Linked DNA regions of Oryza sativa Japonica Group. The protein of the gene in region 6 interacts with the protein of the main gene of each other region in a pairwise test. Links are inferred from orthologs where the notes say so. Each region holds a gene or a part of one and is shown on either strand. Other genes may lie near its edges.

Region 1 (5,088 bases), on a different chromosome or scaffold from region 6:
GTTATCATGCACTTAATATTTTCCTCGTGTAATAACAAGGAGTCACCGACTGTCACCAAAACAATGTAGTGGCAACCGGCAGCACATGAATAAGAAAAAAAATCACCTCTAATATATCGATGTATTTGTATCATGCTGAAATAAAAAGTAGTTACTACTAAATTGAATATATAGGCACTAATTTATGCCGAATATGTTCAATCGCACTTTTAGAAATGAGGATTATCACGGAATATGTTATTTCGGTAACTTTGTGTTAATAAAGACATTACTACTTAACCATGATTGAGATATAAAAATTAAGCATCTATAAAATTCATAGTATCACACCTATATTCTGTTCTCAACCCCAATTTTTTTATCATGATCATTAATATTACACACTCCTTCTAAATAAATAAATTCAAGATTTTCACATGACTTAGTTTATATTTCAAACAAATCCTCTAAAACTGAAAATGTTTCCCACGATAAATCTATTAGTATCAGTGAATCATCTTGTCCGATGGTTTGTTTAGAGAGATCAAATTAGTGGATAATATCTCTGCAATCTAAAACAGTAGCATCAATTGCATAAAAATCATAGATAAGTAGCATCAGTAGCCTTAAAAAAGCAACTAATACGATGAAACATATAAAACTGCTTGTTAATTAAAACATTGCTATGCAACCGTGATTGAAATATACAAATTAAGCATCCATAAAATTCATGCTAAAGACTTACCGCATCTTTAATCTTCTTAGTTTCTTTTGGCCCTAGTTTTTTTTAATCTAGATACAACAAAAAAAAACAACAATTATAATGAAACGAATACAATCACATTTTAATAAAAATATCGCTATGTAACATGACTAAAATATACAACTTAAGCATCCATACAATTTATTCTAAAAATGTACCACATCTATATTCTTCTTGACTACTTTCAACCCTAACATTTTATCCTGATACAACCTTAAGAAAGCAACAATCACGATGAAACGGATAAAACCACATGTTAATAAAAAATTACTACGTAACCGTCGTTGAACTATACAGATTAAGCATCCATAAATTTCATGCTAAAGACGTACCACATTTCTATTCCTCCTGACTATTTTCAGCCCCAACTTTTTATCCTGATACAACCTTAAGAAAGAAACAATCATGATGAAACAGATAAAACCACATGTTAATATAAATATTACTATGTAACCGTTGTTGAAATATACCAACTAAGCATCTATAAAATTCATGCTAAAGATGTACTACATCTCTATTCTTCTTTATTTATTCCGGCCCAACTTTTTATCCTGATACAATCTTAAGAAAGCAACAATTACGATGAAACGGACAAAATCACGTGTTAACAAAAATATTTCTACGTAACCGTCATTGAAATATACAAATTAAGCATTTATAAAAATCATGCTAAAGACGTACCGTATAGTTGTTTCTTTCTGTCCCAACCTTTTATCGTAATACAACCTAAAGAAAGCAACAATCACGATGAAACGGATAAAAACATAAAACCATATGTTAATAAAAATATTTCTACTTAACAGTCATTGAAATATACAAATGAAGCATTCATAAAATTCATGCTAAAGATGTACAACATCTCTATTCTTCTTGACTTATTCTAGCCCGAGCTTTTTATCCCGATACAACCTTAAGAAAGCAACAATTACGATGAAACCGATAAAAACCGTACGATGATAAAAAATATTTCTATATAACCGCCATTTGAACATACAAATTAAGCATCAACAAAATTCATGCCAAAGACGTACCACATCTCCATTCGTCATCCATACCCAATTCTTTATCCTAATCAATACCACCAAAGACTCCTTCTAAACTAAGAAACTCAAGATTTTCACCTTGGTTCATCTCTCATGCAAATCCTCTAAAATTCCTCCTATAAAACATCCCAGTTCATGAAAGAAAACCCTTCAAAAATATCATACTGAGCACAGTTATTAGCTGGAGGAGTCAGCACAGTTATCGGTAAAACCACTTCCCCATCTGTCCAAACTCCAAAGCCGGCCTCACCGGCAGCAGCCACACCACACCACACCACAACACCCCGCAGCCTTGCTGCCTCCCCTCCCTGACCGGTCAAAAGCACACCACCACCATCCCCCCGCAAAGCCAAGCACCAACGCTCAGCAGCAGCAGCCGCCTCCCTCCCCAGCTCAGCTCAGCTCCCCCCCGCATGGAGGCGCCGCCGGGGCCGGAGCCCATGGAGCTGGACGCGCCACCGCCCCCCGCCGCCGTGGCGGCGGCGGCGGCGACCGCCGGCATCAGCGAGAAGGTAACCCGTGGGGAGGGGGGTGTCCAGATCTGGGGTGTCGGGGTGGATCTGGGCTGGGGCTCGGTGCCGATCTGCTGGTTTCGGTGGTCGTTGGGCTAATGCTGGTTTTCTCTCCGGTGTCTCGCGGCGCCTTTTTTTTTTTTTTTTTTTTTTTTTTGGTTGGAGGTGCTGCAGAAGAAGGAGGAGGGCGGGGGCGACGCCGTGACGGGTCACATCATCTCCACCACCATCGGCGGCAAGAACGGCGAGCCGAAGCGGGTGAGCTTTTTTCGGGGTCTTTTTGGTTTCTGTTCTTCTTTGTGTACAGTGGAATGTGCTAGTTTTGGCGCCCTTCGCTTGCTTCCTTGCTCGTAACAATCACTTGGTTCGCTAAGGATTTGTGCTCTCTTAAGCCGTTTCTAAGCTGTTGGTAGTGTTCGGCTGATCAAGTTAGCTATCTATGTGCTGATTCGTCGGGGAATCGCAATTTTGTGGGTTTGGGGCTGACTAGATACAGTTGTCGTTTTGATTTGTAAACAATTTAGCATTTGACTGATAAAATTACGTAGTGTATTCCTCAATTAAATGTTTGGTTATTCAATTACTTGAGGATAATGTACATTTTAGGAAGCATGATTTTCTTTTTCTGTCCGCTATTTCATAGTCTATCCTGTTGTTTCTAGGGGGTAATAAATGCTTCACTTCTAATTTTAGTTAGTCATGATAAGCTGGAACTCTGATGCACAACATAGAATCCGTCAATCTTGAGATATTGTGCGCGATTTCTCATGCGATTTTTTTCTTACCTTAACTGCAGACAATTAGTTATATGGCGGAGCGAGTTGTAGGAACTGGTTCTTTCGGGATTGTGTTCCAGGTACGATGCTTGGTCTTATGGAAATGCATGCTTACCGTGTATTGTACATTTTTTGATATGTTTGAATCAAACTGATTTAGTTTTCACATTTAGGCTAAGTGCTTGGAGACGGGGGAAACGGTGGCCATCAAGAAGGTGTTGCAGGACCGGCGTTACAAGAACCGTGAACTGCAGCTTATGCGCGCAATGGAACACCCCAATGTCATCTGCCTGAAGCACTGCTTCTTCTCAACCACAAGCAGGGATGAGCTGTTCCTGAATCTTGTTATGGAGTACGTCCCTGAGACACTCTACCGTGTGCTCAAGCACTACAGCAATGCTAACCAGCGGATGCCATTGATCTATGTGAAGCTTTACATCTATCAGGTTTGTCAGCCACCATGTTAACACCTCTCTGATTGCCACTATGCTTCTCATTGCTTCTCTAAAGATACTTTTGCTATGCTTGCAGCTTTTCAGAGGGTTAGCTTATATTCATACTGTTCCAGGAGTCTGCCACAGGGATGTGAAACCACAAAATGTTTTGGTATGACTTATGTGAACAAGGCTACATTACTTCTCTTGCTTGGTTGTTTGTTTTGAACTGGTCTCTAATTGCTTGCTGATACAGGTTGATCCTCTCACTCATCAAGTCAAGCTATGTGACTTTGGAAGTGCAAAGGTTCTGGTATGTTGATTTCCACCCTTAAGAGTAATTTCTCAGTGGTTTGATGTATGCTGAAATTATTCTAGTGGTAGGCTAGTCATAATGTTGACAGCATAAGTGGTTTATTTCGTCATGTTGCTTTTACGTGTAGATATGCTGCTTTTGCCTTTCATGATTGATTTGTGATAGAAGTTAAAATTTGCACTGTGCTGGGATAGACTTTTTTAGATAGCTCAATAGTTAATAAAAGAAATTGCCTATCATGATCAATATTTCCAAATTGGTTTTATCATGTGCTGTTATTATGTCGAAGGATTGTTAAGTTTATTAAGTTGGATGCAAAGTTGCTGAGCTAGGACTATAATGATGAATTCCTGAGCTTGGATTATAACTGTTGGCCTCTCTTCCCTAGTTCTGTTATTTCTTCATTTTGCTATTTTAACAAATAGATTGATGATCTCCTTGTACTATTCCACCAGGTTCCTGGTGAACCGAACATATCATACATTTGCTCTCGCTATTATCGTGCTCCTGAGCTCATATTTGGTGCAACCGAGTATACAACTTCAATTGACATATGGTCAGCTGGATGCGTTCTTGCAGAGTTACTTCTTGGTCAGGTTAGTCACTATATCTTTATCTAAGGAACTGCAACATTCAGGTTCCTTGATTAGATTATGCTGTGATGTTATTCTGATTATATTTCATAATGTGTATTTGTCAGCCACTGTTTCCTGGAGAGAGTGCTGTTGACCAGCTAGTAGAGATAATCAAGGTATTGCATGATGTTGTGCAAGCTACATTTTTTTTTTTGCCACGGGTATTTCTTGTGTTAACTTGATATTATGGCAGGTTCTTGGTACTCCAACCCGTGAGGAAATACGATGCATGAACCCCAACTATACTGAGTTCAAATTTCCTCAGATTAAGGCTCATCCTTGGCACAAGGTAGCCATGTTTTCTTATATTGGATCACCTTCCTCATACCATTTTACTTGCAGGGCATTGTAGGCCACTTCAAAACCAGTTTCTGCATCATGTTTAATTTGAAATAAAAAAAATGTATCTGCAGCTGCTTAACTGATCCATCTGTTGTTCTTTCGCTTACCACCAGATTTTCCACAAGAGAATGCCTCCAGAAGCCATAGACCTTGCTTCCCGTCTTCTCCAATATTCACCAAGTCTACGCTGCACTGCTGTGAGTTTTCTTTCGTTTGCTTAGTTTTATATTATCTATAAATCTATTGTTTTCGCTAAGCGCTAGGATAATGATTATTTACATGGATTTG
Region 2 (5,057 bases), on a different chromosome or scaffold from region 6:
TATCAACAAATATATAATTTTATTGAAATACTTTTTAAAACTAATCTACGCATCTGGTTTTTATATTTTCAAGACAAATATAGCCCAGGTAGAGTAGCTGTATTGTTACATAATCTGTATACCATTCTTTGAAGTGAGACAACCAAGAAGAAAAGAAGAGGCAAAGGTGAAGGGGGAAAACGTGTCTCACCTTCTACGCCTTCACATGGATTTCAGGTACTTTCTTCCAAGAGTTGCTGCAGCGCGCCATGCTAGTTGCCAGCCACTCTCCAACAGCGGCAGCCATCACAACGGTAACAGTGCACTCGATGAAACGACAGATTTGCCCCTCCCATCACTCTCACTCACAAAAGTTTGCTTCCATTGGAGAGCAAATGTTGGCACTCTCCATTCTGCAGCCATATGCTAACGAAAGAGAATATATCATGCTCTCTACTAGCATTGGTAGTAAATTTTTATGGAACATATATTTTCTCTAAATGTTTTAAATGGAAAAAAAAATTACAGTATGTCCACATGAATACGAGGGAAGTTCCTTTACAAAGATTAAGGTTCCATTGAAAAAAAAGGGTGAATATTGTATCAATATTCGGTTGTCATCCACTAATTTCACGTAGTTGCCAACAATAGTATGCTCAAAATTGAATATCATACCCCTTCAGTTTTTAAATGTACTACATGATTGGCTTTAGACATGATGTTTAATCACTAATTCGTCTTATTAAAAGTTATTATTTATTTTGTTGTAACTTATTTTATCATTTGAGATACTTTAACCATGACTCAATTTTTTTTATATTTTACACTTGATTAGTTAAATAAGACGAATAATAAAATATCAGGCCTAAAAGTCAGCAATGTCCTATTTTAAAACAAAGGAAGTATTCCATTTGAAAAGTGAGAAAAATTCTAATTTCTACACAAAATGAATTATATTTTTGTTCTTGCATGTGAAAATCCTTTATAACATAGAAGAACCTTCAGGGATGGTGATGAATGAATGGGTCCATAAATCTCCTCATCAGTGTTTAAATCTTAGTGTCCATAAATATTATGTACGTATAGGTGCCTCTTTAAATAAAAAATCAATGAGATCAAAGATTTACCATATTTTCTCTATTTTATCAGAAAATGTGTGAAGGGATGGAAGTACGTGCCTAAACCGTGTAAGTGACCTATTTTTCTGATTAAGATACATATATTCTATCTCGATTTTCGTTAGCACATTTTTCACACGAATAGACTATGTGTTCTGCGCGAAAACTTTCTATATATTAAAATATGCGATAAATTCAATTTTCAAATTAAAATAATTAAAACTGAATTAATCATGCTCTTTTCTTTTGGTTTTTAGTGCCGTACCTATTTTTTCGAGTAAACTCAAACCATACCTATGTGGCCGTTACTACTATATCCATCCCAATATAAGTACAATTATGATTTTTCGTGTCTAATATTTGACTGTCTTTTTTATTTGAAAACTTTATGAAAGAATTAAAAAAACTAGTCACACATAAAGTATTATTCATATCTTATCATATGATAAGACTAGAAATACTAATCATAATATTTATTTTAGATAATATGAACAATCAAACGTTAGAGACGAAAATACACAACTGCAGACGGAGGTGGGAGAGAAACGATTCTCATTGTCCACCAACAAGGGTAGATTCGTAATCTTCCCTCCTCCTCGCTCTCAGGTAATTTTCTTTCTGAACACAAACCAAACCAAGCTGAAACGACTGGAGAAACCTCGAAAAGCACAAAGCACCCACCAAATCCACCCTCGACCAAGAAACTGAGGCAAGAAGAAGAAGAAGAAGAAGCCGCCGCGGCGAGATGCAGCAGCAGATGGCCATGCCGGCGGGGGCCGCCGCCGCCGCGGTGCCGCCGGCGGCCGGCATCACCACCGAGCAGATCCAAAAGGTTCGTTTCGCTTCCCTCACCCTCTCTCTCTCTCTCTCTCTCTCTCTCTCTATCTCGCTAGGGTTTCTGGAAAAGATGGCTCCTTTGGCGATTGCTTCGGCCAAAGATCAGATCTTTTTCGTGCCCGGGTGGACAAGTATTGAGCCTTTTTGTTCTTGTCTTGCCTTTAATCAAATGGGGGGATTAATCACTGAGGCGTAAATAAGAACGCATTTTTGCAGAGAGTGGAGACGCTTGTGCATGGGGGATTAGAGGTTTAAACAGCTTAAGAGAAGTCGAAATAGGCATGAAAATGTGATAGGAGTAAGGGGTGTGGTCTCCAGTTGAACCAAATTTTGAATCTATAGCCACCAGTCTCCAAATTTGGTAATACTGTAATATTGCGAAAAGCATGATACGGTTGAAATGATAAGCATGCATTAATGCATGAGGATGATAGGAATTTAGTAGTCCACAAGTTCGGTTTTCCCCTTTTTTTGGGGTTCTTGAATACGGCTTTCTGCTTTCATTGCCCCTTTTCTTGTTAGTAGTTTTGTTCTTTTTTGTGCTCTGTAACCACTGATGTGGTCTATTTTGCCCTTCTGTGTAGCTTCAATTTACCTTATGCCCTACTTATATGCTAATTTCTCTCTTATATGCTTAATAATTGGCACAGCTCCTGCCACTGTTATAAGAAAATGTTCATGCATGTTATTATACCTGATCAATATTGATGATAACATGTCAACATAAAAGAACTCTGCCTGCAAAATTTTATGCTACACACCTTTTGGCCCCTTACATTTCAGTTACAACAGAATCACACATCTGAATTATGTCAGCTCTCTGATCATGTAGTTGTGGTTGCATCAAGTTTGATACGAAAGAAATCAACCTTTTCTCAATCATTGGTCCACTATTGATCACAATAGCATTGACATCAGAAACCTAATATCGAATGGCTAGCATTAACTTAAGCTTGGGTTTTTCAAGAAATAAACCATGTTGCCATTGTAGAATGAAACTGCATATACAATTCTTACAGAGAGACGATAAATGAATTATTTTAAGATTACACATAGATTAGCATTATAGCGTGGTCATCAACATCATTAACTTCAGATACTTATTCAATTTCTCTTTTGCAGTATTTGGATGAAAATAAACAGCTAATTTTGGCCATCCTGGAAAATCAAAACCTAGGGAAGTTGGCTGAATGTGCTCAGTAAGTTGCTTGCTAAACATCTTTGAAAGGCTTTATTGCTGGATTACTATATGAAATGCTTCTAGGTGGCTGCCATATCTTGACCATTTTGTTTCATGTAAATGACCTAAAATTGGAAATCTGCAATTGTTGACGGCTTGGAAGATGTTTTCAGAACTACATTTGAAGTCATTTGATCTTATTCTGTTAAAATCATGCACTAAGGATTGCACACAAGTGCCAAGTTTTGATAGTTGTGTCTTCTGAAGTTTACTTTACCATTTGGAGGATCTAAATGACAGTGGTCAATAAGTTTTGGCATCTGAAATTTACTTTACCATTTGGAGGATCTAAATGACAGTGGCCAATATGTTTTGGCATCTGAAGTTTAGTTGACTTGCATGAAGTATATGCTTATTCACTGTCTTCCCTACTGAGGACCTATAATATGGAGAATAAAATCTTGTTTCTGTGCCTGATTTGATCATCTGGAACACCTTGCTTAATTACTCTATTGGTCTATCCAGTGTATGATATCGTATATATCTGTTGGCCTGTGCTATGCAATGGAAAGTTAGATTTTCAGCTGAATGCCTTATTAATTGTTGCAATGGATGAGGAGTTTGATCTTCTATCCAAGTGCTACTATGAAGTCCTATAAGGGATCTATCATTGCTTTATTGATGGATCTTTCCTATCTACATGCATTCAGTGGAGTTTGGGCCTACGTGTAACATGATGCCATGAAGATATAAGTTTTTGTGGGCAGATAGTTGTTTTAAATTTAATGTTCTTGGAAGTGTAACAATCATTTTCGTTTTACACCTTCTAGTGAAGGAACTCCTGCTTAGCTCCCATCTTTTTTGTCTGAATAGTAACTACCCCAAGGCATGAAAATCATCCTAGTGATACCAGCATGTAGTATTCTACTACTGTTGGATCTTTCACTTCACAACAGAAAATTCTTTTGAAGTTTGGGGGAAAAAACAAGATTAGTTTAACAGTTGAGCATCTGCATTACTCATTCCATCTTGATTTTGCCATGCTAGTTTCATCTGTCAAGGAAGAAGGTTGCAAGATTTCTAATCTTCTTTGATGCACCAAACTTGTCTAGTTGTCTTAATTGAATTATTCGTAATGTGATCTGCCTATTTGGATGCAGCCTTCTAAATGATCTTGTAACAATGCTTATCTTTCATGCTCTCATATTTTAGGTACCAAGCTCAGCTTCAAAAGAATCTCTTGTATCTGGCTGCCATTGCAGATGCCCAACCACCTCAGAATCCAGGAAGTCGCCCTCAGGTTAGTTATGTTCCACATGTCAGCATAACACCGCCTCAATCTCTCCTTACTGTTAAGTTCACTCAAATAACTATTTCTCCGAATAGATGATGCAGCCTGGTGCTACCCCAGGTGCTGGGCATTACATGTCCCAAGTACCGATGTTCCCTCCAAGAACTCCCTTAACCCCACAACAGATGCAAGAGCAGCAGCAGCAGCAACTCCAGCAACAGCAAGCTCAGGCTCTAGCCTTCCCCGGCCAGATGCTAATGAGACCAGGTACTGTCAATGGCATGCAATCTATCCCAGTTGCTGACCCTGCTCGCGCAGCCGATCTTCAGACGGCAGCACCGGGCTCGGTAGATGGCCGAGGAAACAAGCAGGATGCAACCTCGGAGCCTTCCGGGACCGAGAGCCACAAGAGTGCGGGAGCAGATAACGACGCAGGCGGTGACATAGCGGAGAAGTCCTGAGCTAGCACAAGTGTTAGGATGAATAATGCCATGTATACTAGCAATGAAAAAGAAAGAAAGCCCCCTGCCTCGTGGATCACAAGTAGTCCTTACTCATCACCCCCTGTGTTTTAGAAGGCTCGTCTTATCGGTGTTGTAGAACAAAACTTTTAGATTGATGATGATGTAACCTATCAGAGATTCTTATCTCA
Region 3 (4,799 bases), on a different chromosome or scaffold from region 6:
TCCCTCGTATTTCGTGTGCACGCTTTTCAAATTGCTAAACGGTGTTTTTTTTTTTAAAAAAAGTTTCTATACGAAAGTTACTTAAAAAATCATATTATTGATCTATTTTTGAAAAAAACAAATATTTAATAATTCACGCACTAATGAACCGCTCCGTTTTCCGTGTATACTGTGTGGGTTGGTATCACGTACTTCCGAACACAGCCTAACACAGCTGCCATCCATGTCCTGGCTACTGAGCAAGAGTTGCCTCAGCCCTGTTGAAACTTGAAAGGCAACCATGCTCTCTTCAAAGCAATGAAAAAGTCTCATGGGGACATGGATGTAGCCGAGCTACAGGCAAAGCTTCGACATGGCGAGTCCGAGCTAAGCTACTCATCACTTCAAAGTAATGTGAATGCTTTAACAGTTTTGCTCCGTTTGAAAATGCAGTTGTCTCTATGAAATTAAGTCTAATGGTTAAATATAACTTTTAGGGGTGTTTTGCTTCTGCACCTTACCTTTTTTTTTCAGTGCCAAAATATTAGCCAATTTTGGCCCTACTACTTTTGCGGTAGGGTATAAGTTATATTGACCATGATTAGCTTATTAATGTAAAGTTAAAGTAATTGTTAATCCTTATCCTGGTCAAGTAACTGCAACAAGATAAAAATGAAATCGATGTGGCCCAATTTATACGATCTTAAAGAATGTAACTCCAGTTTATCTCTGGAGATTTTCTCTCTCAAAAAAAAGTTTATCTCTGGAGAGAGCCAGCGAGGAAAAAAATTGATGAATTGCAGGCAAGACTCTATAAGGAGGATCCATTTCGCGATAACTTTGGGTGTTTACCACCATCAACAACTCTGATTAGAATGGAATTAACGTTCTTCTTTTCTTTTTCCCAGTTGTATTTTGTATTTCCATGTGTCGTATGGAGGCTACATATATAGCACATCTGTACAAACAAGCCACGCCGTCTCCTGTTGGAATTCTTCTCTGTACTCGTGACCGACGAGTTCTTCGACACAGAATCTGCTGTTGTTTTAGTACTCCAAAAATCTATCCTGCCCACAAGCTCATCAGATCATGCAGTCCCTGAACTTGAAAATTGCCGTGTTGACAACCATTGTTAAACCCTGAACATGACATATCAACCCAGACATAAATACTCTTCGAGCGTGCAGCCATAATTTTGTTTTATTTTTTTTTGACAACCTGCCTATACGAATCAGGCTTTATTAATTTTATCTTTTTTCCCCTATGTGTGGTGGTGGTCCCAATTCTTTAATGTGCAGGTGTCCAAGTATAGAAAGTTACTGAGCTTTTATGGTAGGTGTGGTAAAAAGTTGCATGGTAAAAACGATCCACTAAATTAAACTTTGTCACCAAAACTGAAGAAAAAAAAACTGAAGAGAAAATCTCTGCAACTGGTTCACCCTCTTTTTAAAGAACTCCACTCCAAAACCAACGAGCAAAGCGAAAGGAGGAGACGGCCAACCAAAACCCTCCTCCTCTCATCATCGCCCAAAACCCCCCAAGAAACCAGAAAGAAACCTCTCCTGCTCCTCTCTCTCTCTTTTCACCGGCAGAGGGAGAGGAAGTGGAGAGACAGAGAGGAAGAAGCAGAGGGAAGAAAAGAAAAGGAAGGAGTTTGCTGCAGCTGTGAGGAGTAGAGGAGGGGGGAAGGGTATAAAGGTTTTTGATTGGAATGCAGCAGCAACACCTGATGCAGATGAACCAGGGCATGATGGGGGGATATGCTTCCCCTACCACCGTCACCACTGATCTCATTCAGCAGGTCATGATCCCCTCTCCCCAAAATCTCTCCCATTTTATCGTCTGTTTGTCTCTCTCTTGTTTTTCATTTCTTGCTTTTTGTTTTTGGTTCCGTGATCTCTCTTCTTTCCTTTCTTTTTTTTTCTCTTGAATCATTTGTATCAAACTCTTTTTTTCTTCGTTCTTGATTCGTTGGTTGGTCTGTGAGTATCTGAAAAAGAAGTTTTATCTTTTCTTGTGTTCCCCTTTTCTATTTCATTATGCGTTTATGCTCATGCTATCTTTCTTGTTTGCTCGTGGTTGTTGATCCTCTTTTGTATCCATTGAAACATCTGGCAAAAAAAAATCTGAAATGAACTAAAGTTTCCCTTCTTTTTTTTTTCTCTGTTCTTACATCTTGTTCATCTGATCTATTTCGCTTTCTCCGTTAATTCCCAACATGATTTGTCGAACAACACGTTTTTTCCATCATATTTAAAAAATAGTTCTAGGGCAGCCTTTTTTTTCTTTATTTTGTTTGGTCAAATAGAAAGGGCATGATCCTCTTATATTCATGATGTTGATTTATCTTCTCGTCCTCTAGTCTTCTCCCTGTATTCTCATGTCTTCAAACATGGTCCCTCACATCTGATTTCCTCTGCAGTTCAAACTGTTGCTGTCCATTTGGTCCTTTTTTTTTCTTTTCTTTTGCTCTTGCTGCTCACATAGTCACATGATGCGGTGATTTTTTACATATCCTTTATCCCCCTCTCCATCTAAATCCTATTTTTAGCTTGTTTTGGTTGGTGACTTGTGCCAATGGTCGTGTCTCCCCCACCACTCGTATTTGGCAACTAGTAAACATGCCAGACCTGTTCCCTGCATCTGCCATTGCAGACCACCAATAAATCTTGGCCCCCTTTCCATGTAAATGTATCATGTGCAATCGTCCAACAAAAGGGAGCAAGAAATGCTGTGAGATTTACATAAATATCTCCTTTCCATATCCGAAATCCAATTTGCAATCTTTGATTTAAAAAATATTTCTTTTTTCTTCAGAAGGACATACCATACAAGATCTGGTCCTTGTTCATGTTGGTGAGAAACTGGGAATGTAGGTTGGCTTGTGCTGTACTAGAATGCCACAGGTTGCAGTTTTGACTGTTAGACCCCTAAAAGATGTGAGCTTTATGGCTAAAGGCCGATATAACAACCAGGGGCCCGGTCTGCTTGGCCTATTCTTTGATAACCTGCTTGCATGCTATCGTGCCAGTTCATGATTGGTCCTCAGTTTGAGATGATAGGCTGGCAATCAGATCTTGTGTGGTTCTGCTCTAGAATCAGGACGCCAATCTCCAGTCTAGTACTTCATTGGTGCTAGGAGTATATTCATGCATATGTCATTGGTGATAAACTGATAGTACCAACCAAATCTTGTGCAATGAACTGCAATATATTCAAGGCATGCATGCAGTACTATCTTTTGTTAGTATTGATGATAAAGACTTTGAAATGTAATGACGTATTAACATGCAAAGATTCAACCTTGAAACTGTGCAGTATCTGGATGAGAACAAGCAGCTGATCCTGGCCATCCTTGACAACCAGAACAATGGGAAGGTGGAAGAGTGCGCTCGGTGAGTTTGATCTTGATCTCCCTGTTATCATGGAGTGCTGTGAAAACTCTGAAGTTGCTGTTCTTTCTGTAGCTTTTGCTCTATCAGAGATGTCTTGTTTGGTAATATAGTCTTTAGGCTTTGTTAACTGCAAAAGGAATGTCTAGCTTTTGTTCAGTCAGGGTTCAAGAAACTAGAATCTACTAGGAGTATTCTGGATAAATCAACTAATCAAGTAGTACAATGTTCTTTGGTGAAATATTCCATTAGGTGTTACAGGTGATTCCACAATGATGGTTGAATTAGTGTTAACTCATGGGCAGGTTAATACTATACCTAGCACCCTCCTGTTAAATAAATTATTAGTGAGTGGCTTGTACTAGAAAAGTACTGTTCCTTGTTCAGTGCACTATTTCTGTTGTGTGTATTGTCAATGTCACAGAACAGTTTGCTGCCATCCTCCACAGTATCTTTTCCAGCCACCGCACAGAAGCAAACTCGATCCAAAGCCTCCTCATTTTTCAATCATCATCATGTCACGTAGTAGTAGTAATACGAGTTGCATGCATGTTCATGTGCATACGCTCTCCTGTTGTTCACTGCTGCTGCTATCTTTCTTGGATTGTACCGGGAAGGGAACACATCAGTTTGGAGCTTTGCATCGACTGAGCAATCCACCCACGTTTTCGCTTGCGGCGCGGCGTTTTGCATTTGCCCTACAGGCAGCTCACAAGCTGACCATCCTCGCGTGTCTGTCGCTGCAGGAACCAAGCTAAGCTCCAGCACAATCTCATGTACCTCGCCGCCATCGCCGACAGCCAGCCGCCGCAGACGGCCGCCATGTCCCAGGTAATTGTGCTGCTGGCGATGATCAGTGAGTCGTGTTTGTTGGTGTTTGATTTGAGGATGAGTGAAGTCATCAATGGCGGCTGCATTGTGCATGGATGCAGTATCCGTCGAACCTGATGATGCAGTCCGGGGCGAGGTACATGCCGCAGCAGTCGGCGCAGATGATGGCGCCGCAGTCGCTGATGGCGGCGAGGTCTTCGATGATGTACGCGCAGCCGGCGCTGTCGCCGCTCCAGCAGCAGCAGCAGCAGCAGGCGGCGGCGGCGCACGGGCAGCTGGGCATGGGCTCGGGGGGCACCACCAGCGGGTTCAGCATCCTCCACGGCGAGGCCAGCATGGGCGGCGGCGGCGGCGGCGGTGGCGCCGGTAACAGCATGATGAACGCCGGCGTGTTCTCCGACTTCGGACGCGGCGGCGGCGGCGGCGGCAAGGAGGGGTCCACCTCGCTGTCCGTCGACGTCCGGGGCGCCAACTCCGGCGCCCAGAGCGGCGACGGGGAGTACCTCAAGGGCACCGAGGAGGAAGGCAGCTAGGTGGTTTAACTTAGCTATAGCTAAGCTAGGCAGCTAGGTAGCCCATGAGGAGGGTAGCACCGTG
Region 4 (5,019 bases), on a different chromosome or scaffold from region 6:
CTCACGGATCCACCCATGTAATTGTTAAGATCAATCGCCCACTCATATATATAGTTATGCTAGCGCTTGCACAAAGCGCGACTGAGAGAGAGTTTATGTTACCCGAGTTAAATTACATGAGCATGTAGCACACTTGGTAGTCCCACTGGAATTTGCTTATCCATATAACATTTGGTTATTTCAACACAAAATAAAACCATTTGATGTGTGAAGCCATGAGGAATGTTGCATGGTTCTACACTACTTTTGTTTTTAGTGGGAGAGGGGTCCCGTGAGAAGGTATTATTAAGCTACTACCCTTACTCTATTTTTTTAATGGTTGACAACTTTTTTCCACTTGAAAATATGTGACATAATAAACTTTGAGGTCTGAGATTGAATTTACTAGCAACAATTTTTTAATCTAAGGTCGAATTTATTATCCTCCTCTTACCTCCTCTTATCAAATATAGGTTACATATTGCTTGAGAGCTTTATATCTATGTCTAACGATGTAACTTACAAAGCTATCTAAGTGTGCTATTGTGTAACCCGCAATTGTAATCGGTGAACTTTATGTCCATATTTTCCTAAAAGATAATGAGTGACTACTATGTTGTAACTTGCACTCTTGAAGTTTGAAAAATTCAATTAACCTTGTATGTAAACCTCTGCGATGTTTAGAAAAAAGAAGAGACTACACCAACTAGTGACATAATTGATAGCCGTGTTAAAACAACATGATGATGTGTCCATAGACTCTAAAGATCATGCAAATCCCAAATGCAAACTAGAGTGCTATCCTTAACAACGGTAGAAATGATTTATATAGAAGTGAATACAAGATTATATAACTTTCATCATTAACAAAATTTGCCTTAACATAATGGTTATGGCTCTTGGTCAAGGACAAACCAGGATACAAATATTCCGTTTGAACCACCATCCAATTATGTTTGGATCATCAACTATAGTCACTCCAATAGGTCCATCATCTTTTCGCTAGGTGAGACTTATCCAAGCAATCTATTCAACTAGAGAAGCACTATAAGAAAAGACTATTACTATCTAGAACTCACATGTAACAAATTTAAAAATCATCATGCCATAACCAAACCTCATGTTTTTAGTGCACCAAACAACACTCAAGCGCTCATGGAATCAACATGGATTATTTAACCAAAAGTCGACCCCAAGATTTGCCAGAACCGAGGTGAGTGAAATATTAGGAGTGTTGGGTACAAATCAATTGACCATATTGCTAATATAGCTGGTTAGTTCGGAAAAAAGATGCTATGTCTTGGCAACGATAGCGCTGGATATTAATATATTTTTCTATAAAGTTGGTCAAAACTAGAAATTTTTTTTTGACTCAGAACATAACTAAAACACCTAAGAATTACAATATGTAACAGAACGGAGATAGTATTGGATTGAAATTAGAACTCAATAACAACATATTGAGATGAAAGCAAACACGTTCTTTTTCAATTTTTCCTACTCCAACTTTAGAGCAAGAGAGTAAAAGCACTAAATACATTGCATTGAAGTCATAAATGCACGCCTTCGCACACTAGAACTACAATTAACACACATGTACGTTTTCAATACGAATTAACGAAAATATTGCCCAATACAAATTTAACGAGGACACATATGATTTATTGCTCACTTCCGTCTACTTGTGTGCTAGAGGTTTGCACGCGTAATTAATCAATCAATAATATACCCTCTTCGTCCTTAAAAAAAACTTAATCCTAGCAACGAATCTAGACACAGATTCGTTGTTAGGATTGGATTCCTTTCGAGACGGAGTAGTAGTAATTATTAAAATCTTTTGAGCAAGAGGGGTATACTAGTAATTGCACCTAATCCTAGGAGGAGATGAAAAGGGAAAGCCTTCAAACCCCTCTCCTTCCAGATCCATTCGCGAGATTACTAGGGAGCGAATGTTCGCTCCATTGCTGTTCCCAAACCCTCCAAAGTCCAAACCCCTCTCCTCCTCCTCTCCAACGCCATAAACCACAGAGAGGGGGAGAAGAAGTGGAAGCGTGAGCCGCCGCAGCCGCACGCGATGCAGCAGCAGCCGATGCCGATGCCCGCGCAGGCGCCGCCGACGGCCGGAATCACCACCGAGCAGATCCAAAAGGTGCCTCCTTTGGGCCCACCCCCCCCCCCCCCCCCCCCTTTTCTCTTCCGGTTCTTGGCCCCGGTTCGGGTGCGCCGCCCTCGCTTCTTGGGAGGGTTTTTTTGGGGGGCAAAAGATTTGATCTCTTTTTTTATTTTTGCCCGGCCTCCTCGAATGGTGCTAGGTTTGCCAGCGTTCGATTCGATTAGGGGTGGGTTAGGGTCTTAGGGATATTGGATTGGTAAAGATTCTGGCTTTTTTGATTAGTTTCAACTTAGTTGATGTGATTTGAAGAGTATTTGACGGGCATTGGTTGAAGTTGGTGTTGTGAGCACCGCATGGTTGGCGTGCTCGTCATCTGACTCGATAAAGAACGACTCGTTTGGGTTATCCGGGCGGTAGAGTGATCTGTAATTATATGGTGATGATGTTGGTTTGATAGGAGATATGCTGACTTGTTCTCGGTTTATTGGAGAAGATGTATCATTTGTGATAAAAAAAAACTAAGTTATGAACACCTGGAGTACAACTTTTGACTAGATTGGGCTTGAATCTTTGCTTGTGTAGCTTATGTTTATTGATTGCAATATTTCTACTCGACATGGAACTATCCATCATCCATGACCACTCCAGCCGGAACTGAACTTATGTTTTTTTATGTGTTCTTTAGTATTCACATCATGACAGTCATCAGTCATTGTCTATAAAGTATTATTCTATGCCTGAAACATTTTCCTGCATTAATATCAACTTGGCACTTGTATGGAACCATTTCTTTGTCTTAGTGCGATTGTCCTGTTCTTTTGTAGAGTATGCTATTCTATAGCAGATTTTAGTTATGTTTCTGTTCGTGGATGACTGGGTTTATTGGGATTTGTTGAAGTACAGGTATACTCCAGTCCTTGTGGGCTTTAGATGTAGTTTAAAACTTACAACGGAGAAAAAAAAGTTATGTTAACTGACTTTCAACAATATCAACTTTCACTTAAATTCTTAAAGAAAAAACTCATCGCTTTGTTAGTTGATTTCTGTCTCGTTTGTTAATTTTCCAATCTTTCAGGCGTTGCTCTTTTCTTTTGGAGCTAATAGCTGTGATCACCTAGCAGTTCATGTCTTCATGTCTAAATGGCAGATTTGTATTGTGTGCTCCCACTAGATTCAGACATGCATGCTTTTTTCTTCTTAAGGCTGGTGATGCATATTCTGCTTAAATTGGGTCATGGTTTGCTCTCTTGTACTAGAATAAGCTAAAAATAGCGCACTAATGTCTCTCTGCTAAGATGAATAAAATAGCAGCTTGGGGCCGTTTTTTGAACCACTTTACTTTGCAATCCATATTATTAGGGTGCTCATGCTTATACAGGTCATATTCTGGCATACATTTTCACTTTGCATACTTGTCTGAATGATATTTTCCTTATTATACTTGGATTAATGCCCTGCACCTACTAGCATTGTAACTTGACTTTCAGATGACTAAATAATCTCTTGTGCTGACTTTAATCCTTATGTTTCCTGCAAACTGCATAAATTGTAATAGTGCATTTCTAAAATTACTATCTTGTTCCTTATATATTTCACATGGTTCGCCCATTTGCATTTACTGATTCTGTGGTTTCATTGTTGTAAATAACCATTTTCCCTTACAGTCTTAATTCATTTTTGCAGTATCTGGATGAAAACAAGCAGCTTATTTTGGCTATTTTGGAAAATCAGAATCTGGGAAAGTTGGCAGAATGTGCTCAGTATGTAAACGGTCTTTTATGAGATTTTACGTTATGACATGATCCTTTTTGTGTGTTAATATTAATTCATCCTGCTTAGTAGTCTCGTAATTGCATTGTTGAATAATTTCTCGTTAACATTAATATCTTCCTTTTTTGTTATCTACACTCAGTCCCTCACCATTAGTTAATTGTATACAATTATTCATTTATTGTGCTGCCGTATATAACAATGAAATTGCCACTCTGCTGTTGTTATTTCAAATTTGTGTTTATGCATTGAATAAACAAGCAACTGAAAACTGCTGCGATATCCAATGATATTTTGGCCTGGTTTCTTTCTCAGCCGTTAGGTTTAATATTTAGAAGATCTATGTAGCTCTTGTCACTGATGAAAGCATACCATGCTTGGATGGTTCAACACAGAATAAACAGTATTGCTAAACAGCAAAACATGGATCATTCAAGTATGGCTTTTTGTGCAGTACGAGTTATAAACTGCAGCTGAGTTCTTGTTTTGTACCATCTTGAGGCTTGAGCCACTATACAAAATTAATCCTAGAAGGGTCCTGGCATTGTGGCATATGCAAAGTTCATATGAACACTCTATGAACTGTAGACAGCAAATATGATAACATCTGTTTTTTAAATGATAATGTTTGATTAAATTTCTATTTTCAAACTTTTAGATGATATGTTAAATTGTTAATTATCTGACTATAATACTGTTTTTTGGTATCTAATTATATAAGTCAGGGTTTTTTTATGATAATTTTACTTAGATTTACATAGAGTATAGACCTTCATCTCCTGACTCTTCGGGACGTGTACTGGTGTGGATTTTGACACAATCCATGCACTACGGTGAACGAAGTATTACAGTGCTATACACTGAACACATATTGGCATACAATTTCGAATATAAACTGGTTGGTTCTCACATGACTAGTTTATGTAGCGTTGCCTATAGTGGTTCTTTATATTCAATGCAATAAAAGCATGTATTCGAAGACCGTGTATCTTTCAAAGAATATGCAAGATGTATCATCATTAGCAACTATATGTACATCCTCACTCTTCAGCCAATATATTCCATGTTTGATTTGCATCTTGTGTCTTCTGCTGCCCAAAGGATCAATTGCTTTTTTTTTGGGTGCAAACGAAGCAAATTACCAGCATGCTAAATAC
Region 5 (3,531 bases), on a different chromosome or scaffold from region 6:
GCCGTATACGGCATGGGGAAATTATGGCACACGGCCGGCCGCTGCCTGCCGGGCGGGTCCGGGGGGGTCGCGGCGCGTGGCAGTGCACGGCGCGGGCAGCGGCAAGCGGGCAGGGGTACTGGTACTACTGGTACGTGCGTGCGTGCGTGCGTGGGGCGTCACCGGAAAAGACAAGACGGAGGCGATGCCGTACCGTACATGGTAGGCGCGCGGTAGGCACTATACGGAGTAAAGGTGCCGTGGCGGCCGTGCGAGGCGGTTTATTTGAATGCTGTGCGGCGACAGTACGGGTACAAGGCTTGAAAAAAGCGGTGCTAACATTGATTAGGCCAGGCGTCCTGTGAATCTGGGTTATTAGTTCGGTGAAGCCGTAATGTTTGCTCTGCACGTTCCATTCGTTAAATCTTTTGCTTTTTTTTTGGCATGATTAAATCTTTCAGTTGTCTGTGCAATTTATAACTGTCTACTAGCACCGCAACATTATCTTCATTTGAAAAGGCGAGGGTAAAATAAAATGCTGCACTGACAGGGAGCATCACAAAGAAATGCATGGAATAATAAAGAGGCCGGCCGGCCGGCCGGCCGGGCTGGAGCAGTACTACCGGTCTAGCCGGTCCATCCAAAACAGCATGGGCATGGCTACCCTATACAGTACACACGCACGCACTGTGCCAACGCCTTTGGCCTTTCATCAATGGTACGCCTCTTCCCAAGGCAGGGGTCGTCGCCGCTCGCTGCGCTGCACCATCAGCGCTCGACAGGTCCTCCCGCTGTCCCACCCAGCAGAAGGCAGTCAAGCCTCGCGCGTTCCCAAGGCCCCCCCCTTCTCTCCCTTCCCTTCCTCCCGCTGCTGCTGCTCCTGCCGCGGCAGCCTAGCTAGCTGCGGCCATGCCATGCCCGTCTCTTCCCCAAAGTATTTTTTCCCACATTCAATTCCCCACGAGATTTGGACGGGTCGAGCCGATCCATCGTCGGGTAGGCGCGAGATAGCTACTGCTGCCCGCGGCGCTGCGAATCTACTCCGGACGAGGAGTAATTTGGAGCGTGACAAGCGGCTGGCTACCCACCCACCGAACGGCGTGCGCGCGGACAACGCCGTGCCGGATAGGCCACCCACCCACCGGGGCGCGCCGCGGCGACTGCTACTGTTGAGCGGCGCCGCGCCGCACGCGTCGGCAAACCGCGGTGCTGCCTGCCTGCCTGCCCCCCGCGCCACGACACGGCTCCTGGACCTCCTCGCCCACGTGAACCCGACCCCGGGGGCCGAATCGTGCCACGGCACGTCGCCCCCCCTACGCCGAAACGCCAACCCCACACGTTACCTCCGCCGCGGTTGCTTTCCTTCTTCCCTTCCTTCCATCCGCCTGCTGCCGCTGGCACGTCGGGACGTAGGAGGAGTACTAGTAAACGTACGTACGCACTCGTCACGGGCCCGGTCACGTCCCCTGGGCCGTACTGTATCTCGCTTTCACCCTTGGTAGGCTAGTCCGCCGCGTCAACACGACGTAACGGACAGGGGAGAGGTATGGAGGAGGTGGAGGGCCCGTGCGGTCAGTGTGCAGGGGGGGTAGGGCGTGCAGGACGGATAGGGCGTTGGGGGTGGTGGTAGGGCTGGCGTCACGGCGATTAGACCATTCGGGGCGTCAAATCGCGCGGCGGCTGGGGCTTGATGGCCGAGGCCGAGACGGACACCGCGCCGCGCTGGTCAGCGACAGCCTCAAACCCCCCAAAACGCAGCAGGCCCCAGAGCGGCAGACACCTACTCCTACTAGTACTAGTACTACCACCATCTCCCCATTTCACGAGGCGCGCGCAAACGCAAAGCCGACGCGAGAGCGAGCGGCCACCGCGCGCTAGTAGTAGTAGCGAGCCACTATAGATTTGGCTCCCGTATAAAGGGTCGCTGAGACTTGCTTGTCGCTGGCAGTGGCAGCTGCCGATCCGTCCGTCAAGGCACAGCGCAAGCACAGGCTCTCGCTCGTGGAGGCGAATGGAGCTGGACATGGGAGCGGGAGGAGGCGGTGGAGTAGTGGGAGGTGGGCGAGCGGAGGCGCACTACCGCGGGGTGAGGAAGCGGCCGTGGGGCCGGTACGCGGCGGAGATCCGGGACCCGTGGAAGAAGACGCGGGTGTGGCTCGGCACCTACGACACGCCCGTCGAGGCCGCGCTCGCCTACGACCGCGCCGCCGTCGCGCTCCGCGGCGTCAAGGCGCGGACCAACTTCGGCAGCGGCAGCAGCGGTGGTGGTGGCGTCGGCGGGCACGGCCATGGCCACAGCCACGCCCAGCTGCCGCAGCTTCACCACCGCATGCACCCGCCGCGGCCGCCGCAGGGCCCTGGTCACTTCGGCGGGCTCGACATCAGCCACCCTTCGCCGTGGCACTATGTCTACTTCCCGGCGAGGGTGCAGGCGATGGCGCCGGCGGCGGCTGGCCATGTCGCGGCGCACGTCGCCGCGTCGCTGCCGTCGACGACGCTGGAGCTCCGGACGGGGCCGAGCGCCGGCGAGCTCCCGTTCGACCTCAACGAGCCGCCGCCGGCGCTGCTGTTCGGCTCGTGATCTCGACACGTACGTGAGTAGAGCATCACTGGGTAGTACTAGGACCAAGGATCAAGCTTAGAGATCACTAGTAGATAGGGGTAACCGATTAATGTGGGAGTGGAGAGCACTGGTCCGGCTGTGTACATACGTACTACTATTTAAGGAAAGTTTAGCGTTCTCACATTGCCCCTGTTCTTGTTTCCATTTTAAGAACTTTTTAGCGTACAGCTTTTCATCTCTTCTGTAGTATAAGACGGTTTTCTCACTCGAGGTTAGTACTATTACTGACCTGAGAACTTGCATGGTGATGGTGGTTGTGGGGCGAGTGAGCGGTTGGTTCGGAACATTTGGTTGGTCAAAAGCTAGTACTACAAAATTTTAATTCATGTAAAATACTAGTACTGGTATTATAAGAAAGATTTCAGTTATACATATTGATCAGTAAATCAAATATACTTAACGCTCTAAACTACTAGTGCTATCAATGCAAGCCCCGTTAGTGAAAATTAACAGTATCAATGGGGTTTCAAAAAATTAACAGTATCAATTGATATCAATGCAGCCTTAATTTACTTAACTGTTTAAACTCTAAACTAGGGTTTGTAAAAAGACATTCAACTCGAGATGAATGGCACACCCGGCGTCCCGAGCTCCCGGCCTCACTGACTTGACCATCTGCTTAAAAGTCCCATCACAAAATGGCTCGCGAGTCCACCCTGTCTCGATTGTCGTTTCCTGTAGTATTACTAGTACACACGTTCGATTATGCTTCTGTAGTTATGCGCACAGCTTATTAACTACTCCATGTGTCCTTAGATTTTAAATTAGATATTGTAAAATAACTTATGATAAAAAATCTATAAAATCAACTCTAAAATAAAGTTTTAAATTTTATAATTTTATTTATAAACAAAAACATAAAACAAACAATGCGTCCGCTACAGACTGTGCCCAACATTTGATCCATTTAGATAACTATGGTTTTAATC
Region 6 (4,873 bases):
GGAAGGAGTATAAAGCATGTCGCTTGTCCAAGCAAAAGAACAGTAGCCAGTGGCAAACAAAGCCCTGTTTAATTCACCCCAAACTTCCCCCAACTCCTAACTTTCTATCACATCACATCACATTTAAAACTTTCCTACACACACGTAAACTCCCAACTTTTTTTCCAAACTACCAACTTTCCCCAAACTTCTCCCCAATTTCAGAAACTAAATACAACCATAGTACCACTGGACAAACGAGTCCTGAGAATGAAAGTGATTGACTAAAAACTATTATGGCCGAGTTTAGTTTCAAAGTTTTCTTCAAACTTCCAACTTTTTCATCACATCAAAACTTTTCTACACACAAACTTTCAACTTTTCCGTCACATTGTTACAATTTCAACTAAGGCTGTGTTTAGTTCACACCAAAATTAGAAGTTTGGTTGAAATATGAACAATGTGATGGAAAAGTTGGAAGTTCGTGTGTAGGAAAGTTTTGATATGATGGAAAAGTCAAAAGTTTGAACAATTATTTTCGAACTAAACACGGAGTAAACTTCCAATTTTATCATGAACTAAACACACCCTATGTGTAAATGTCTCACTGTTAATGAGAAGTGAAAGATCTATAAATTTCTATCCGGCCTAGAAACAGTTGAAGTAATAACATCACTACCTTAACTAAAGATGTTGGGTTTTTTTTTAAAAAAAAACACATTATAAACGTACACCCACCTGTAAACATATACACTCACTTTGCATATTCGGTTATATTCCGACAATATAAATGGCAAAACTTGAAAGGTGCCATGCATAGGGAAAAAAACTGTCATGCTAAACAGGAAAATACATACTTGGTGTCAACTACTTCGTGGGTTATTATATTTTGACGAACGCATTAGTGTTAATTCACACTATAATATATTTGTTGAAATACTTTTCACTAAAAACACCCTAATCGCTGAAGCGGTAAAAAAAGATTAGATCTTATTTGGACTATAGGGCTCGTATAATATGTTTGATATGTCATTTTAAAGTTTAATTAATTAGATAATTACCTTCTAGTTTACAAATGTCTAGAACTTCAATAACATATCTGGTTCATATGATGTCACAATAAAATGCCAGTCCGAGTGATTTTCTTTCTAACCGTCGTCTAAGCCGTACATACGTAAAATACTCCATTTGTTTCTAAATATTTGACACCGTTGACTTTTTAGCACATATTTGACCGTTTGTCTTTTTCAAAAACTTTTGTGAAATATGTAAAACTATATGTATACATATAAGTATATTTAACAATAAATCAAATGATAGAAAAAGAATTAATAATTACTTAAATTTTTTAAATAATACTAATGGTTAAACGTATTTAAAAAAATCGATGGCGTCAAATATTTAGAAACGGAGGGAGTATATATAAGTTAGACTCATGATAATCCAACTCTATACGTTAATATTGCAATTTTAAAAGGTAAAATATACTTTTTATGCAGGACTAATTGACTGTATTGAAAGATAGTTGATGCATTTACGTAGTAGTACAGTAACGTTTTATAGAATTCACATTCGTTTAATTAAAACCCACCGTTTATTAATTAGAAAATGTATTAATAAATGGCCGAAACCTGATATTTTTGGCAGGCAGGAGCGCATTTCGCAGTATTACCCTCGGGTTTTCTTCTGGATCCGGAAACAGCCTCCGGCTCGCAAGTCTTAAATGCGCACGGACGTCGCTTCCCACCCTCACCCCACCCTTCCCCGCCCATTACAAAACCCCAGCCACCGAGAGCTCTCCCGCTCCACTCGCCGCACACCACCACCCTCACCCCTCCCCCCATCCGCGTGATCTCCCGAGCAGCTAGAGCGCGCGCCCGCGGCGCCTGTACTGCGAGACCGCTTCGCTCGCTTCCGGTCGGTGAAGAGGCGGTCGGTCGCAGCTGAAGTAGTTGTTGCAGAGATGATGATGATGAGCGGTCGCCCGAGCGGCGGCGCCGGCGGAGGTCGGTACCCGTTCACGGCGTCGCAGTGGCAGGAGCTGGAGCACCAGGCGCTCATCTACAAGTACATGGCGTCCGGGACTCCCATCCCCTCCGACCTCATCCTCCCCCTCCGCCGCAGCTTCCTCCTCGACTCCGCCCTCGCCACCTCCCCTTCCCTCGCCTTCCCTCCCCAACCTTCACGTACGTTACACACATCCTCCTCCACGTACGTACGTACGCGTTGTTGCCGATGCTAACAAAGTCCATATTGTGATTGGTGTTTTCTTTGGAATGCAGTGGGGTGGGGTTGCTTTGGCATGGGGTTTGGGCGGAAGGCGGAGGACCCGGAGCCAGGGCGATGCCGGCGTACGGACGGCAAGAAGTGGCGGTGCTCCAAGGAGGCGTACCCGGACTCCAAGTACTGCGAGAAGCACATGCACCGTGGCAAGAACCGTTCAAGAAAGCCTGTGGAAATGTCCTTGGCCACGCCGCCGCCGCCGTCCTCCTCCGCCACCTCCGCCGCGTCGAACACCTCCGCCGGCGTCGCCCCCACCACCACCACCACCTCCTCCCCGGCGCCCTCCTACAGCCGCCCGGCGCCGCACGACGCGGCGCCGTACCAGGCGCTCTACGGCGGGCCCTACGCCGCGGCCACCGCGCGCACCCCCGCCGCCGCGGCGTACCACGCGCAGGTGAGCCCGTTCCACCTCCAGCTCGACACCACCCACCCGCACCCGCCGCCGTCCTACTACTCCATGGACCACAAGGAGTACGCGTACGGGCACGCCACCAAGGAGGTGCACGGCGAGCACGCCTTCTTCTCCGATGGCACCGAGAGGGAGCACCACCACGCCGCCGCCGGGCACGGCCAGTGGCAGTTCAAGCAGCTCGGCATGGAGCCCAAGCAGAGCACCACGCCTCTCTTCCCGGGCGCCGGCTACGGCCACACCGCGGCGTCGCCGTACGCCATTGATCTTTCAAAAGAGGACGACGATGAGAAAGAGAGGCGGCAACAGCAGCAGCAGCAGCAGCAGCAGCACTGCTTCCTCCTGGGCGCCGACCTCCGTCTGGAGAAGCCGGCGGGCCACGACCACGCGGCGGCGGCGCAGAAACCTCTCCGCCACTTCTTCGACGAGTGGCCGCATGAGAAGAACAGCAAGGGCTCCTGGATGGGGCTCGAAGGCGAGACGCAGCTGTCCATGTCCATCCCCATGGCCGCCAACGACCTCCCGATCACCACCACCTCCCGCTACCACAATGGTGCGTAGAGTACTAACCTTCGTCTCCACTGATCAGAACCGTTTCTTGATTCTTATGGCGAGCCGTGCTGACGATGATCCAACTTGCTTCCTGTTTGGTCTTGTGCAATCTGCAGATGATTAATCTCTTGAAGAAGCCAAGAAGTGATCAACACGCGGAAGAAATCAACAGCTTCTTTCACGGCGTGCGAGCTGCATGCTGATGCTCCAGGATCGATCGATCGATCATTGCATCTCCAAACTAATCACGCTTCGATCTTTCAGGACTTCATCAATGACAGGCCGAAACCTCCTACGAGTTCTCTGATGATATTCTTATTTTTTTCCCACTTCTTTTCGTTGAGCTTTTTGTAATGTTGCTTCGAGTGTTACTCCTACATTTTCTCCGAAATGGCCTCAGAATGATGCGGTCGGGCTGATTAATTAGGTTAGACTCTTCCTGAACCAACTAGGAATAGATTTTCTGCCTGGTTCCTGTCAGTCCTTGTAATATCTGCAGCAGCTTGTGAGACAAGCGTGTTCGCTTTTGTGAACGCCCTTTTTCTTCTTTCCGATTCCTCTGCCTGTGATAGTACTCGCTCCGAAAAAAAAAAAAAAAGCAAACCGTGGATTCTTGGGTCAACGTGTCCGTTTTATATTGTCCGTTTTATATGAAATTTTTTTATAATTAAAATTTCTATTGTTGTTAGATGATAAAACATGATTAATATGTGACTTATTTTTTTTATATATTTTTTTTAAATAAGACGGACGGTCGACACGGTTTTTTTTTTTTTTAAGAAGGAGGGAGTAAGTCACATCTCTGGATTCTGCTGAAAAGCTCACTAGCGCCATCCTGCTTCAGAGAATACTTTATGCTTTCTGACAAGTCGGTGTAGGAGTAGTAGTATTGCTAGGTGTACTCCACTCCCCTCCTTAAGTACATTACCAGTGCAACGTAAAACAGCTTTGCTCCTGAGCAACGGAAATGCTTAATACCGTACTCTTGCACTTCGTCAGTTGGTTGAGTACACTGTGCAAGTACCAAATTGGTCTTCTTAAGTGTTACTACTAGGTTGATCACTTGTTGAACCGTTTAGGCTGTCGATCATTAGCATTCAGGGTTATCACTGCAAAGTCCCAAACAAAAAGATTCTCCCAGGGTCTATTCTCCCCTGAACCGTTTTCCCATTGACCGGCCAATGCTGCAAGAAGCTGGATGCAGAGCTAGGAGTAGCTGCAGTGCCCCCACTCCTGCACCTTCCTGCAGACACTCAGAGAGAGGGAGAGATGGAGGACTGTGATGACTGACCAGCACCCCTGCTTTGGTCTCCATGGATTCAATGCCAACTGCACTGCAATTGCTGCCGGCCCCCTGAGACAATGTCAGGCGCTGTCAGCTCTCGCGTCCATGCGATTGAATGATCCATTGCTGGCGTTTGGACCGTCGCCTCTCCTCCCCTGCCTCGCACACAGTCTGCAGCGCATGCATGCATCCATCATGTACAGTGCAGCATTGGACACAAGCCTCTCCTCCTTGCAGCTGCAGCCTTCAAAGCCTGCACTTGCTGTCTGCCGCGAGACGGTGTCTGCCGGCCAGCACCGTGACAGTCTCCGGCTCAAGTACCGGTAGCTGTGCCACTGACGCGCGGGGGCCACCTGACTTCGTCC

The links.
Region 1: the proteins of growth-regulating factor 1 (region 6) and shaggy-related protein kinase GSK1-like interact in binary tests that used the Arabidopsis thaliana proteins (3 or more experiments, as listed by UniProt). The link is inferred for Oryza sativa Japonica Group from reciprocal best matches to the Arabidopsis thaliana genes GRF5 and BIN2.
Region 2: the proteins of growth-regulating factor 1 (region 6) and GRF1-interacting factor 2 interact in binary tests that used the Arabidopsis thaliana proteins (3 or more experiments, as listed by UniProt). The link is inferred for Oryza sativa Japonica Group from reciprocal best matches to the Arabidopsis thaliana genes GRF5 and GIF2.
Region 3: the proteins of growth-regulating factor 1 (region 6) and GRF1-interacting factor 1 interact in binary tests that used the Arabidopsis thaliana proteins (3 or more experiments, as listed by UniProt). The link is inferred for Oryza sativa Japonica Group from reciprocal best matches to the Arabidopsis thaliana genes GRF5 and AN3.
Region 4: the proteins of growth-regulating factor 1 (region 6) and GRF1-interacting factor 3 interact in binary tests that used the Arabidopsis thaliana proteins (3 or more experiments, as listed by UniProt). The link is inferred for Oryza sativa Japonica Group from reciprocal best matches to the Arabidopsis thaliana genes GRF5 and GIF3.
Region 5: the proteins of growth-regulating factor 1 (region 6) and ethylene-responsive transcription factor 12 interact in binary tests that used the Arabidopsis thaliana proteins (3 or more experiments, as listed by UniProt). The link is inferred for Oryza sativa Japonica Group from reciprocal best matches to the Arabidopsis thaliana genes GRF5 and ERF12.

The regions. Positions count from the first base shown.
Region 1 is NC_089035.1:5,785,005-5,790,092, reverse strand, and holds the start of shaggy-related protein kinase GSK1-like, read left to right. Parts: upstream 1-2,095; 5' UTR 2,096-2,198; coding exon 2,199-2,297; intron 2,298-2,471; coding exon 2,472-2,555; intron 2,556-3,093; coding exon 3,094-3,153; intron 3,154-3,246; coding exon 3,247-3,519; intron 3,520-3,604; coding exon 3,605-3,679; intron 3,680-3,763; coding exon 3,764-3,820; intron 3,821-4,278; coding exon 4,279-4,419; intron 4,420-4,523; coding exon 4,524-4,574; intron 4,575-4,651; coding exon 4,652-4,747; intron 4,748-4,913; coding exon 4,914-4,997; intron 4,998-5,088. UniProt on the Arabidopsis thaliana protein: Negative regulator in brassinosteroid signal transduction pathway important for plant growth. May be also involved in auxin signaling pathway. Phosphorylates and increases the degradation of BZR1 and BZR2/BES1 by the proteasome.
Region 2 is NC_089045.1:25,865,312-25,870,368, reverse strand, and holds the start of GRF1-interacting factor 2, read left to right. Parts: upstream 1-1,738; 5' UTR 1,739-1,842; coding exon 1,843-1,929; intron 1,930-3,056; coding exon 3,057-3,133; intron 3,134-4,326; coding exon 4,327-4,414; intron 4,415-4,500; coding exon 4,501-4,866; 3' UTR 4,867-5,057. UniProt on the Arabidopsis thaliana protein: Transcription coactivator that plays a role in the regulation of cell expansion in leaf and cotyledons tissues.
Region 3 is NC_089037.1:30,927,803-30,932,601, reverse strand, and holds the start of GRF1-interacting factor 1, read left to right. Parts: upstream 1-1,455; 5' UTR 1,456-1,690; coding exon 1,691-1,780; intron 1,781-3,297; coding exon 3,298-3,374; intron 3,375-4,117; coding exon 4,118-4,202; intron 4,203-4,303; coding exon 4,304-4,735; 3' UTR 4,736-4,799. UniProt on the Arabidopsis thaliana protein: Transcription coactivator that plays a role in the regulation of cell expansion in leaf and cotyledons tissues.
Region 4 is NC_089046.1:19,344,891-19,349,909, reverse strand, and holds the start of GRF1-interacting factor 3, read left to right. Parts: upstream 1-1,898; 5' UTR 1,899-2,053; coding exon 2,054-2,128; intron 2,129-3,775; coding exon 3,776-3,852; intron 3,853-5,019. UniProt on the Arabidopsis thaliana protein: Transcription coactivator that plays a role in the regulation of cell expansion in leaf and cotyledons tissues.
Region 5 is NC_089039.1:24,542,175-24,545,705, reverse strand, and holds ethylene-responsive transcription factor 12, read left to right. Parts: upstream 1-1,922; 5' UTR 1,923-1,990; coding exon 1,991-2,560; 3' UTR 2,561-2,779; downstream 2,780-3,531.
Region 6 is NC_089036.1:33,334,664-33,339,536, reverse strand, and holds growth-regulating factor 1, read left to right. Parts: upstream 1-1,744; 5' UTR 1,745-1,942; coding exon 1,943-2,165; intron 2,166-2,261; coding exon 2,262-3,224; intron 3,225-3,339; coding exon 3,340-3,347; 3' UTR 3,348-3,845; downstream 3,846-4,873. UniProt on the Arabidopsis thaliana protein: Transcription activator that plays a role in the regulation of cell expansion in leaf and cotyledons tissues.